Linked DNA regions of Drosophila melanogaster. Changing the gene in region 1 together with any one later gene gives a genetic interaction. Each region holds a gene or a part of one and is shown on either strand. Other genes may lie near its edges.

Evidence for each region.
Region 2: of Cdc7 (region 1) and chif, changing one enhances a phenotype caused by changing the other (phenotypic enhancement), as found in Drosophila melanogaster (one study listed by BioGRID).

Annotation. Positions count from the first base shown.
Region 1 is NC_004354.4:6,652,761-6,660,359, reverse strand, and holds Cdc7 (Cdc7 kinase), read right to left. Parts: upstream 5,820-7,599; 5' UTR 5,464-5,819; intron 5,301-5,463; 5' UTR 5,211-5,300; coding exon 4,880-5,210; intron 4,811-4,879; coding exon 4,588-4,810; intron 2,754-4,587; coding exon 1,205-2,753; 3' UTR 651-1,204; downstream 1-650. Other genes in the region: CG3226 (uncharacterized protein), read left to right, coding at 6,200-6,214, 6,280-6,452, 6,630-7,134. UniProt on the Drosophila melanogaster protein: Catalytic component of the Dbf4-dependent kinase (DDK) complex. Phosphorylates components of the pre-replication complex, including Mcm2 and, to a lesser extent, Mcm4. Phosphorylates histones, including H3 and H2B.
Region 2 is NT_033779.5:16,349,332-16,354,458, forward strand, and holds the start of chif (chiffon), read right to left. Parts: upstream 3,298-5,127; 5' UTR 2,696-3,297; coding exon of another isoform or gene 2,596-2,695; intron 953-2,595; exon of another isoform or gene 656-952; intron 142-655; 5' UTR 123-141; coding exon 1-122. Other genes in the region: Hyls1 centriolar and ciliogenesis associated, read right to left, coding at 2,596-2,695; CG4455 (uncharacterized protein), read left to right, coding at 3,764-3,803, 3,882-4,222. UniProt on the Drosophila melanogaster protein: A bicistronic gene producing two proteins that are components of different complexes and have separate properties and functions.

The DNA.
Region 1 (7,599 bases):
AGCGGTAAACACAAAATGCGATGGCTGACGCGCTTTAAAATTAAAATTAAATAAATATCAGCGTCGTTTGCTGTCGAAAAGTGCTACAAAGTGTAATTAACCAGTGAGCGCAGGTCGACGCAATGCGTTTGATACGGTATTTCTAGTTTAAACGGGTGAAATTGGTAAATTTCTGCAATTTCCTCATTCTCCTTTGGGCTCATTCTCCGTTGGCGCGTGTGTGGGTGTGTTGGTGCGTGTTCAACTGGCATTCTCATGTGCACTTAAGAGTATGCTACGTTTTAGAGCGGTGATCTTGTGCATTTTGCCATCGCGAGTGTTTTGTTGTGAAATGGCTCATCAAAATGTGAGAGTATTTGTGTTTTTTTTTATATTTTTTTTTAGGTGATTTGTGCTCAATAAATGTGAAATTAAATAATGTACAACTTTAATTGCATGGATTTATTTTGAAAAGGGTGAGTCATTTAAATTTACACTTTAATTTTATGAGTCCTATATTTGCAACTGAAATATAATGAATAATTTAACGTACGGTAACAACAATATGCGTACTAAAATCCCCAAGCATTTGTTTGTTTAAGCAAATAAAGAATAATTTGCACAAATTTCCATTTTTGGAGCAAAGAAAATCAAGGCCTTCATTCAATCTTCACGGTATAAATATATGTATTTGTCGCTCTTATATCCTCGTTCACATGGTTTTCAGATATACAATAATTATACCTAAGTAGGTTAGCTACAAGACTATTCGAACTATACATGATGGGGATAGTGCAAAATTCTTTGCCACTGGGCGATGAGGGCCATGCACTTGGGTCGCCTTCGTGTTCCTTAATATACAACATTTTGTAGCCTTTCGGCCACAATATTTCATAATCAATCTCTCCTCGTTTGCTTTTTTGGTATTCCTTGCCCATTTTGTTCATGATTGAAACATTTCTTTAAATATACATTTGTATGTTTGTTTGTGAGTGTTGTGTGTGTTTGTTGCGTGGTTTCATTTGGTTTTATCTGCCTGCGGCTTGAGGTAAGTAAATGTGGCCTAGTGGGGCATTGGACGAGTTTCTTCTGGCTCTGGGTGCAATAATGAGATATGCTCTTGAGGTGGGTCTATATATATGTACAATCATGATCAGCGAACTGGGTATAGTATATGTATGTATGTACAAGTGGTGTATGTATGTTTGCATGGTGGGGACTAGTTTCACAGCTTGTTAATGGCCGCTTGCTGCAGATCAAGGGCAACCTGCTGCTTGACCTGCTCCTGTGAGGCGGCCACCGTTCTGTGACTTTGATATCTTTGTCGACGCATCTTGCGCGGCGTTCCATTGGCCAACTGATCCTGCTCCGTCTGCTCGGCCTCCTCGGCGGCCGTAAAGAATGGATGCTTTAGTGCCTCTTCGGCGGTAATTCGTTTATGGGGATTAATCTCGAGCAGGCGATCCAGTAGGTCATAGGCGCTGGGTGGAAAACATTCGTATGCGTCCAGTGGCTCTGTCAAGTAATCGCTATCCTCGCATAGGCAGTTGAAGAAGTATTGATCACAATTCCGGCACACTTCGCAGCTTCCGTCCACAGATTCGTAGCTCTTGAGGAGCTTGGCATCACTAAAAACGGAACGATAGCGAAAGCGCAGGCACAACTTTCGCAGATTCAGTGGCCTGGACCTCTGGCTCAGGGTGATCATACGGTCGAGAGCCAAGGCCGTCTTCCGTATCGCCTGATCTCCAAATATTGTTACAATCTCGGCCAGCGCGATAAAATCGTTGGGCGCTTTGAAAAACGGATACACCGTTGACATGATCGAAAGGAATATCACACCCGCCGCCCAAACGTCCACGGCAGTGGTCTGATCTGGGTACTTGAGCAGAACCTCGGGCGGCCGATAGCCAGGTGTTCCTGCCCTGGAGGCGTGCACCTCCTTCTTCATCAGACAGTTGAGGCAAACTGAGGGATTTGCAAAGCAAACGCACTTGGCATTATTAGCCGCTGCTGCCGAGACATTTCGATTCGTATTGTACTTGCTGCCAGATGGCGTCGATGCTGTTTGATCCATCTGCGCCAGTTGTGGCTGTCGTTGTGGGTGCTGCTGTTGCGACTGCTGCTGCGGCTGCTGCTGCTGTTGCGACTGTTGTTGCTGCTGCTGTTGTTGCTGCTGCTGTTGCGGCTGCAGTTGTTGCTGCTCTTGCTGCACTAGCTGTGGCTGGACGTGATTGGACCCATCTACTGACTGCTCCGGCGCATCGCTTGGCGCAATATCGTTGACCGGTTTCAGGGGCATCTTGTTGGACTCCTCGTGCAAACGCATACGCTTCACTGCTCCACCCAAACCAGCATCCAGCGCAATTTGCTGCACATCCCCCTTTGATTCGCGCTCTCGTGGCCGTTTGCTATTATTATTGTTATTATTGTTGTTGTTTTTGTTGTTGGCTGCGGCGATGGCGGCGGCACTTCCGGAAGATCGCGCAGCCGGAGGATTCACATGCTGGGCCAGACCGAAATCGACGAGGAGAAACTCTCGCCGACGTCGATTGTAGAGAAAGTTGCTCGGCTTCACGTCGCGATGGATGACATCGAACTTGTGGACATGACGCAGTGCCACCAGGAGATTGCGCATATACTGCCGGATCTCGGGCACATCCATGCGCGTGTAAAAGTCCTGGAATCGGTCATGTGCCATGAAGGGCATCACGAAAGCGGCGGAGGCGTCATAACGCATGCAACAGTGGATGCCCACCACGTTCTCCTTTCCCCTGAGAAGCGAATTAGAGCGGGAAAACAATAGATTAGTTATGCAGTTATAGTTTGAATACGCAGCTTTTGGCTGTAATTCCCAACCAGTGATTTGAGCAACAGGTGTCCACCAACCCTGATTAACTTTAAGGGTAGTTAATGTGATTAAGCTAGTCACACATCAAATTAATTGAACTGAACAGCAGGATTTATGCAAGTCAGCTTTACCATCTTGTTTATGTTGCTTTGTTGTTCCGTGTGGGAAAACCACAACAACAACAGAGACGCCCACGCACACTTCCGCCCACTCCATTTCAGTGAGAGAAAGAGAGAGACAGAGGGAGAGAGGAATGGAAAGGGAGAGTGATTCTTCGACGTCACGTAGAACCAGTGCGGACCTGATTTCTAGCTATTTTTAGCTGAATATTTGTGACATATATGGAATATACAACGTACAACCTAATTTGACAGTTTTTACTACTGTTTATAATAGTATAAGTTATTTACATATATATTTCCATTACTTAAAATGTCTGCGTGGAATGTTGATTTCGGTGTAACTTAGAAACAGTTGATTTGATTAGCTACTTTCTAGCTAGTCGCGCAGCTCGACGGTGAGCGATGGGCGATACGGCAGATGCGATTTGCGAACTGGGCGCTGGGCCTTCGGGTGCGGAACATGGCAAGCGGCATATGTGAATACGTGAGGGAGCACTCGGCATGGCCCAGTCATAATTATCATCGGCTGTGACGCAATTGGGTCTGCGGAATTTGCGCAAATTGCTTGAATAGACACAAAATCGCAGCGGGCAGTGGGTCTACGAGGGGCAAAGATGTTGGGCGGTGGGCGATGGGTAATCAGGGGGCGGGCAGCCGGCTTATGTCAAACACGCAACGTCGCCCACACACACACACACACACACACACACACAAAATACCCACTGACCGCCCACTCTCTCCTCTTTCTAATTTTCTAATTTGGGGTAAATTATACAGCCGGACGATGAGCTGACCGGCGACGATACCTGCCAACCCAAAACTCCTCCGGTTCGAGGCGGTATTGAACCGATTTGCCCATCTAATACGAGTAGCTAATCTAATCACCTGGCCATTGCTCTGGGCAATCGATAACCGGCGGCTGGGATTGCAGGATATGCTACAACAGTCTGAATTGAAAACCACGCATGTGTGATGTGCGCGGGCTGTAAACAAACGTTACAGCTGCCACACGGAAAGAAATTTTGGATATATATTGTATAGATTAGCTAATATGGCATTTTGATATGCGAAAATGGTTTAATGTATTGAGCAGAGGTGAGTCTCGAACTCGAACTCGAACTTCCTATTTATTTATAATTTCTTTGGAACTTATCATATCACAGCGATATCGAACTCTTTTCTTTTCTCTCTGTGCACTGGCAGATGCGATTTTGCATAAACAAATGCGAAATGTATTCAGATCTAACATATTTCGGATATAAAAGTGATGTGAAATGCGTAAATGAATGCAGAGAAAGGTGGCGAATTTTTCTCGCTGTGCACCGTGGGCTTCAATGTAACTGTAAATGGGCACGTGAATGGCGTGTGAAAGTGCAATAAACGAACGCTACAACAATCATGCCATCTCGCTTGCCGTTCGTGCGGCGAAATATAAATTGCAATGACGTAGATGGAGCCGCTGCCGGCGGCTGACGTCGTTTAACGGCGTTTGACGCAGACGAGGGGACGAAGCGGCGTGCGTGGGTGGGGTGGGTGGTTGGTTGTTTGGTTTACAACCAGTCGGGCGATACTATAAGGATACGGGAGGGCAAAGGACACAGGACACCAAGTGGGGAAACGAAATGAGGAACCTACCCCATTTTGGTCATGCACTGCAACTCCTTCATTATCCTATCCGGATGACTGGTTGGTATGTGATGCTTGATGGCGAACTTGCGACGCAGACTGTCCGGCAGATGCGATTCCCGGCGCAGTGTGCCCAGCAGCACCGTGCTAAAGGTTCCGTTGCCAATCCGGCTGTGAACATCGAACAGCTTGCCAATGTCCGGGATTCGTGTGAGGAGATCATTGATGGCTTCTGCAGCAAAATACAACCAATTAAATTCATCTGTATGCACTAACAAGTTGGATCAGCAACTGAACTTACCTTCGCTTTTGTTGCGTGCCTGTTTGGTTGTACGCGGCGTGGCGGGCAGACCCATGACTGCAGCTCCATTGAATTCCACTGTCTGCTCCTCGGTGGCGCCCGCAGTGGCGAATGCTCTGCCCGAATGCCTGCCCGCGCTTCCAGTTGCCGGAGTGCCGGTGGCATATTGCTGAACGGTCTGGCGCGGCAGCCTTTGGGTTTGCCTTGGCGCCGCACGCCAGGATCCGCCACCATTGGCGTACACCACATTGGTGCTGGGCACTCCCGTTTTGGGGCGACGATAGTGACTGCCTGGTGTGGCCAACTCCTGGCACATAACTCGATCGGCCATTGTTCCTCAGGAGCACAATCTTCTTGGGCATCGGCGTATTGATGGTGCTTGTGGTGGTTTTATGGCGGTTTTTACAGAAAAAAAAAGTGCCTAAAAAGAGCAAATTTTGACACGGAATTTTTTTTATTAAAAAATTTCTGTTCTCGGCCAGGCCAAAGTGTAAAGCAAAGTGTTTCCGAACGGTTGAACAGTTTTGACATTTGCCGTATGGACGAGCGGCAGCAGTAACTGAGATGACAACTCCTCTACTCACTTGGATAGTTTTTGTTTCCAATCCGGAGTCCTGCTGCGCCGCCCTTTTAATCCCGGAACTCTGGCTGTGGCGCAGCGTCCGTTGGTTGTATGTGGATACCCTGGATGGAGCACATGAACAACTCTGGTCACTGGTCGTATTGTCTGAATCGTGTGTTCTGGTCGGCGTTCCGCGGGAGCTGAGGTGCTATCAAACCATCGATGGCGCTACTGATAATATCGATGGTTCAGTTCCAGCCGGTTCGATGCCATCGATGGTTTTTTCGAGATTATGGATCAGTGTGCTCGCCGTCCGCCGGGGATGTAATACCAAAATTGCTTGTGTGCTGCCTCCAACTGGTCACCCTGGTTTGGCGGGAAAATCGCTTTTCCGGCGGAAGTAGAAGTTTATAACAAAAATCATATCAATTAATAATGGATCATGATTTACTAGTCATCTGCCCATTCTTGGATTCAAATATCACGTATTTCTAATTTGACATTAGTAAGCTCTAAAACAAAACAACCCTTTGTCGTAGTAATATATACATTTAATAATTAAATGTAACATTTTGTGCACCAAAGCTGGCACTTGATATACTGAAAATACCGTGAAATAGTATTTTTCGCAGTGTGCTCCGTGCTCGCCACGCGTTAATCGTTTTTTAGTACATTCACCACGGGCGCCGGCGTCATTGAATTGCTCGAAATTTCTGCGAACCTACAAAATTAATCAACTGTTATTCAGACAAAACAAAATGTCATTGGAACAGGTAAGTCCGAGTTGTTGAAAAACGAGCCATCAGTGAAATAACCCCACACCCATCGAATAACACAGCTGAAAAGCGATGTGGCCGAGCTGGCGGCCTTCCTGCAGCAGGCGAAAGGTGCCCGCGTAAAAGACGTGCTGACCACCGCTAAAGCGGAGGCGGAACGGGAGATTGTCAATCTGGAGTTGAAGGCCAAAATTGCGGCAGAGCGACAGGCCACCGGGTCGAGCGAAGCCAAGAGGTGAGCAAATCCATGAGGTCCAAGAAACCCAACACCCAATCGACCGAAACACAAAATCTCTTCGGGATTAGTCCATATCCCAAATGTAGTTCCACATCTTTCTACATCACTATATATGGGCAGAGATTTCTTAAACCATGCAAGCCCCACTAATGAATCCCCATTTCGATCGCCCAGATATCTGCACGAGCTGACCGACTACGGCTGGGACCAGAGCGCCAAGTTCGTGAAGCTCTTCATCACCTTGAACGGAGTGCAGGGCTGCACGGAGGAGAATGTGACAGTCACCTACACACCTAACTCGTTGCAGCTCCATGTGCGCGATCTTCAGGGCAAGGACTTTGGGCTGACCGTAAACAATCTGCTGCACAGTATCGATGTGGAGAAGAGCTACCGAAAGATCAAGACCGACATGGTGGCCATCTATCTGCAGAAGGTTGAGGACAAGCACTGGGATGTGCTCACCGCTATCCAGAAGCGTTTGAAGCAAAAGAAGGACAGCGAATTGTCCAAAGATGGCGACAATCCCGAATCGGCGCTTGTTAACATCATGAAGAAGATGTACAACGACGGTGACTCCAAGACGAAGCAGATGATCGCCAAAGCTTGGACCGAGAGTCAGGATAAGGCGAAGCTTGGCAAGGAGACGGGCGGCGGATTGGATTCTTTCGACGATCTTTAGATATGATAATAACCACACCCATTCGCGAATTAGCTAACTACCTAAGGCACTGCTTCGATTCCAGCACAATTTGTATATGTGGATAAATAAACTCCCAGCTAGGGCATTAAGTTAAAACGAGTGGTGTTTGTTCTTTTTTTTTTTTTTTTTTTTTTTTTTTTTTTGGCTTTTTATATATATATTTGTATATAGGCTTTTATTTAATTAATTAAATTCTTGTGATTAAAATCAATTATGCTGCTCGTCGCTTAGAGTACACCCTTGCGGTCTAATCTATTCCATTTGTAATAGTTAGTTTGCTTTCGAAATGAATTGATAATTACACTTTAGCTGTATTTAAAATACACTTTATATGTTCTGCGATATATATCCAAGTACACATATATAATATATATATATTATATGTGATGCGATGCTCATCATGGCCAGCGCTCGAGAACCCGTGGTGCACTTCATCTTGTTTTT
Region 2 (5,127 bases), on another chromosome or scaffold:
CGTTTGCTCTTTATGACCTTTACTTTAGGAGGAGTTGCTGCTGTTGCGGAAGCTGCTGCTGTTGAGTGGCTAGTTGTTGTTGCGAGTCTGCTGGCGCTTTGTTTGTCCGACTGCGGTTGCATACCTTCTGGCGCAAATTAGCTGCAGCCAACGGACCCAGAATTAAAGAGAAAAGAAATTGCAGAAAACGCCATTAATTAAAATTTATTTTGAAGAGCTGAGCTACAGTCGAATTTTAACAAATTAAAGCTTTGGCAATATTCTACCAAATTCACAAAGTACAAAATAACTGTATGCTTTATGTAGAGTTAAATTTAATGAAACTTAAGATTTTACCATTGCACTCAAAAATAAATTTAAAAATCAGACCATAAAAATGATTATTTACAAAAAAAAAAAAATTGAACTTAAGTAATATTAATTTCCAACTTATTACATCCAAATACGTTGTACATGTTCTTATAAAATGTTTCAGTAACACAAATATTTAAAAACATTTTATTAAAAACAAGAACCACTCCTATAAAGTTTCCCTCCAATTTTAGTTGGAACAAAGTTATACCAGTCTAAAGCTGTAGTTATAACCATTGATATAATTGGTTTAGTTTTTAATTTTTATTCAAAATTCGACCGTAGCTGGAAATCCAACACCAACCGCGTTTTAAACTTGTTTGCCACGAAAAATGATATAAAAACAAATAAATCACTGTGGGGGAAATCCTACTCCCGGTGGTTCTTCTTCCTCTTGTTCCTTGTACGTTTCCCGATGTGTGTTATGCAATGTTGCATTCGGATACACACAAATCAAATCAATAACTGCACTTGGATGCATTTCGGTATGTATTGCCTAAAAGGCCATCGAGTGTTAAGTGTGAGTTAATTTATTTTAATTCCAAACTAAATGGAACACAGAAACACGACCCAAGCGGGTGGAAGAAGAAGAAGCAGCAGCTGTGCTGCAGCATAGCGCTGCCAGGTCGGGGGGCTACGCTTAGCGAGGCGTTGCCAGCACGCGAAAAAATTAGGGGTGACACAGCTGCAACATAATTGTACTGTATTGTTGCATTTGATTAAAAACCAGTTATATTTACAAAACAGGCACGAAAAAACAAATGTGGAAGAATAGCGATTCAAGAAAAAAAACAGTTGGTGATGACACTTATTCTTAATCACTCATACTAACCTCGGCTTGTATATAAGCTCTATTTAATAAATTGTACTTTCTTTATTTATACTATTATTATTTAATTTTATAAAGTCAACCCTAACAAATATAATTATGCATCTTATCGTTGTATTTCTTGCTAATTTGCGCAATATGGCTTATCACATTCCATTCATATTTGTTGTTTTGGTTTTTTACGTCTCCCAAAAAAACAATGCGAATGAGCTGACAAAGCCATAATGGCCGATGACCGATATTAAACTCATAATGACAATTAGTCCGGCAACCCTGCCGTTCACAGTACTAACACATTCGTAAATACTTGCAAATAAATTGTATGCCTAGCCAATATGCACTGACGCGCGTCAATATATATATAACCTGAAAAACGAGCACATCAGCGCTGCGCTGGCACTTTTTCTGCCCTCGCTTTATATTTGCCATTACAAAACGAAACGTTGGCGCAAAGAGAAACGAAAGAAACCCTAGTGGCAACCCTCAAGCGGTAGCAGTAGCAACAACAACTAAGGAAAAATAAGAAAAAGAGTAGGAGCACACAAGGAGTAAAGCGAAAAATAACACGAAAAACGCACAAAACACAAAAAGAGAGTGGAGGGAAAAAAACAACACACACACACAATTCATACAGTTGCGGTGGAAATTATAGCACTTTCAATTTAAAATAACCGAAATAGACATTTTAATGAGTGTAATGAGTTTTGTGCATTAGGTAAATAAAATATATTCCGTAAGACAATTTTTCTATTAATATTACAAATTCAAATTGCACATCGACATTTCCCTAACGCTTTACCCGCTGCTGTATGCGTACATATGTATGTTTGTGGATAAAATTCATGTGAAGTTGCGGATGAAGCTTACAATGTGGTGGAGGCCGAAACACACGAGCAAACGCAGAAAAGCAGGCCCAGGGCAGCAGCAACAACAACTATGACTAGCAAGCCAAGTACAAAAAACACACAGAACAGTGGGGTCACAAGAGCCGTGTGTTTAGGATTTCCACTGAAATGTATTTATGCCACAGTACGTGAACCTTGCCAAAGCAGTTTTCCTTCGATGTCGGGCCGGCCTTTATTCGATTATTCCTAAATTTTTGGTCCGAATGAATTTTGTTGCTGCAAACCACTGTGCCATGGGTATGTATAGTGTGTTATTCACAATTTCCAAGTAATACTCGTTTTTATATTTTCTTTTTTCCATTGCTCCGTATTTCTGCCTGTGCCGCTGCTCTTTTTCTTGTCTGTGCTTTGTACGCACGTTCGTTTTGGAAATAAAAACAAATTGAAATGGTGACGAATCGTTTGAAATTCAGTTTGAAAAGCCGCAACCAAAAAAAATTGTGCATACAAAATAACAAACCAAAAACAATCCCACACACACACGCACGCACACTTGTACGGATTGCTTACCTTTTAGAAATTCACGGAGTTGCTCGGCTGATATGTTCCTATAGCCCAAATCATTTAGATACTGGAGAATGGCCCGTGCATCTAGTGGCAAATGTGACATTTTACTTTTCGCCAAGTAGAGCAATCGTTCTTGATATTCGTATTGTTAATTATTTTTTGTTTATATTCCACCCTCACACATACACACGCGCGCGCACTCGAGCACATACAAACACACACACGAATGCAAAATCGCCGTTCGTTTGGTTTCTCTTTCTCGTTTGTTTCGTTCGCTTCTTCTTCCTTTTGTTCGTATTCGTCTTCGTGCGCCGACAATCGACCAATTTTCACTGTACTTTTGCTCTGCGTTGGCCGTTTTTGAGTTTATACTTGCATTTACTTGCGTCAAGTTAATCAGTTGCAATGACTAAATATACACAACTGTATGGGAACGATCGGTATAAGCGTCTATATGCCTTCGTTCGCCCGTCGTTCGTTTGCTAACGCCTTTGTTATTTTTATGCCTTTTATCAGGTTTTCGCGGTCGGATGGTCGCCAATTCGATTGTGCACGCACAGTTCGAGTGTCGAAATTGGGCCTTTTCTTATTTTCACATATTTCCTCGCTAGTTTTATAACAATTTTCACCAATTGAAAATAAAGTGTACACGGACAGGGCAGCGCACACACGCTCGGCAACCAAATTTTCGTCGTGTTATCGATAACTATGTTGGCTGGCGATGGTCGATGGTTGCTAAGCGGCGTGACTGAGTCGCGGTCACATATCGTTTTAAGGGAAAAAGTCACGGATTAGCAGTTTTAAAAAAGGTCTAGTTTAATATTGATTCGTTTTTCGTGACGAGAGACATTAATTATTCATTGAATTTATTTATTTCATTTAAAAATATACACTAACGTACTTACAATTTTGTTAACATGAATCTATGATATATACCATAAATTTAAAATTTGTAATTGCGATTTGAAACATCGACAGCGATGGCTATCTTCATGTATCGATAGGCAACGACAGTCCGTCCCTACCAGCAACGCGAAAGGTTTTTGTCTTGCTTTCTTGTTGCTTTGTGTGATTCTCGAGTCTCTGTTCTGCGTCTGCGTCCCGTTCTCGTGCCAACGAACTGATTTCGCCCCGCGTTCGTGCTCAATCGTAAATTCGAAATAAATTAAAAATGTCTCGCAGTTCGTACCTGTTGTGTGTGCTGTTTTTAGGTGAGCGAAAGAGAGGGAGAAGAAATGAAGAAATCGCCTCGCGATCAGATTTTACGGATACGCATCTCGTTATTGCAGGCGCCAGCTGCTTGGTTTTCAGTGCGAGTGCAGCGCGGAACAATCGAAGGGGTTACAAGGCCACGGAACCGCCCACCACCACCCAGCCCCCGCAGACGGCCAAGGAGTATCTGGATAGTCGACCCGGAATCTCCACATTCGGCATCATCGCCATCATCTTCACCGTAATCGTTCTCTGCCTCGTCTTCTACTACGGCATCATTTGCTACCCCTTACTCTGTCGCGATGACAAGAAATATCGGTTTATGGACGTATCTTCAACCATTACTGCCGCCACATCGCGCTCCATTCAATCCATAGAGAACTATCCCGACCAGAAACACCATCATACGTTGGCCTGATTCGGGGTGTGGACACCTGGAGGATAGTGGTTTAGTAGTACTTCAATTTAGTAACGCGAAAAAGACTTAAATGCCAGCCAGAAACGAAAACCCATTAGTATGACTACAGATTTAGGTCCTAAGTTTTAAAAAGAAATATCTCGAATTTTATCTCTATATACCCTTCGCATTACTGGAAAGTAATTACTTTTTTAACATATTCGAAGTTCCGAAATGCTCTGAAAGAATTTTCCCATATTTTGACCGAATTTCGTAACAAAGCAGTACTACACATAGCAATAACCAGTTGAGGAGTTCGCTGGAAAGGGAATTAATCATTCATAATTGTAAATTGGGTTTCCTACGCATCCCCGACTGTTTCTTTATCTGTTGTTTCTCTTAATCCCGGGCTCAACAAGTTTGGCCTGTCCTCTGGCCCTTTTTCCTTGTCCCTCCTGCATCTTTGGCCTTTTTTTATTTCTTTTAATGCAGGTAGTTTTAGCCGTTTACTCACCGCTTTGTTCTCTGTTCATTTTTTTTGTGGGACAGAGCCAAATTGTGGCAATTGAGTCACGTTGCCTGGTTGTTTCTTTCGAAATCCAAGGGAATTTAGCGATCTTTTTTATACCGTCTTCACGCAACCCAATTTGCATTAAGAATCCGAATCGTACTAACAGACGAACTCTTCGTGATGCCTCGAATTTTGCACTACATTTTAAAACGCCGATTCCCGTCCCTTTATATACACAGGTTGTACTTAAATCGAAACCAAGTACTTAATAATTGTACCATGCCAATCATAGTTTAAGCGCCAATCTGCCGCCACGAATACATTTAAGAAATCTTCAGTTTGTGCATTTAGACCAGCATGAGTATCCTTCTATATATTGTGTCAAAAAAAACGTTTTTAGACGTTATATAGCATT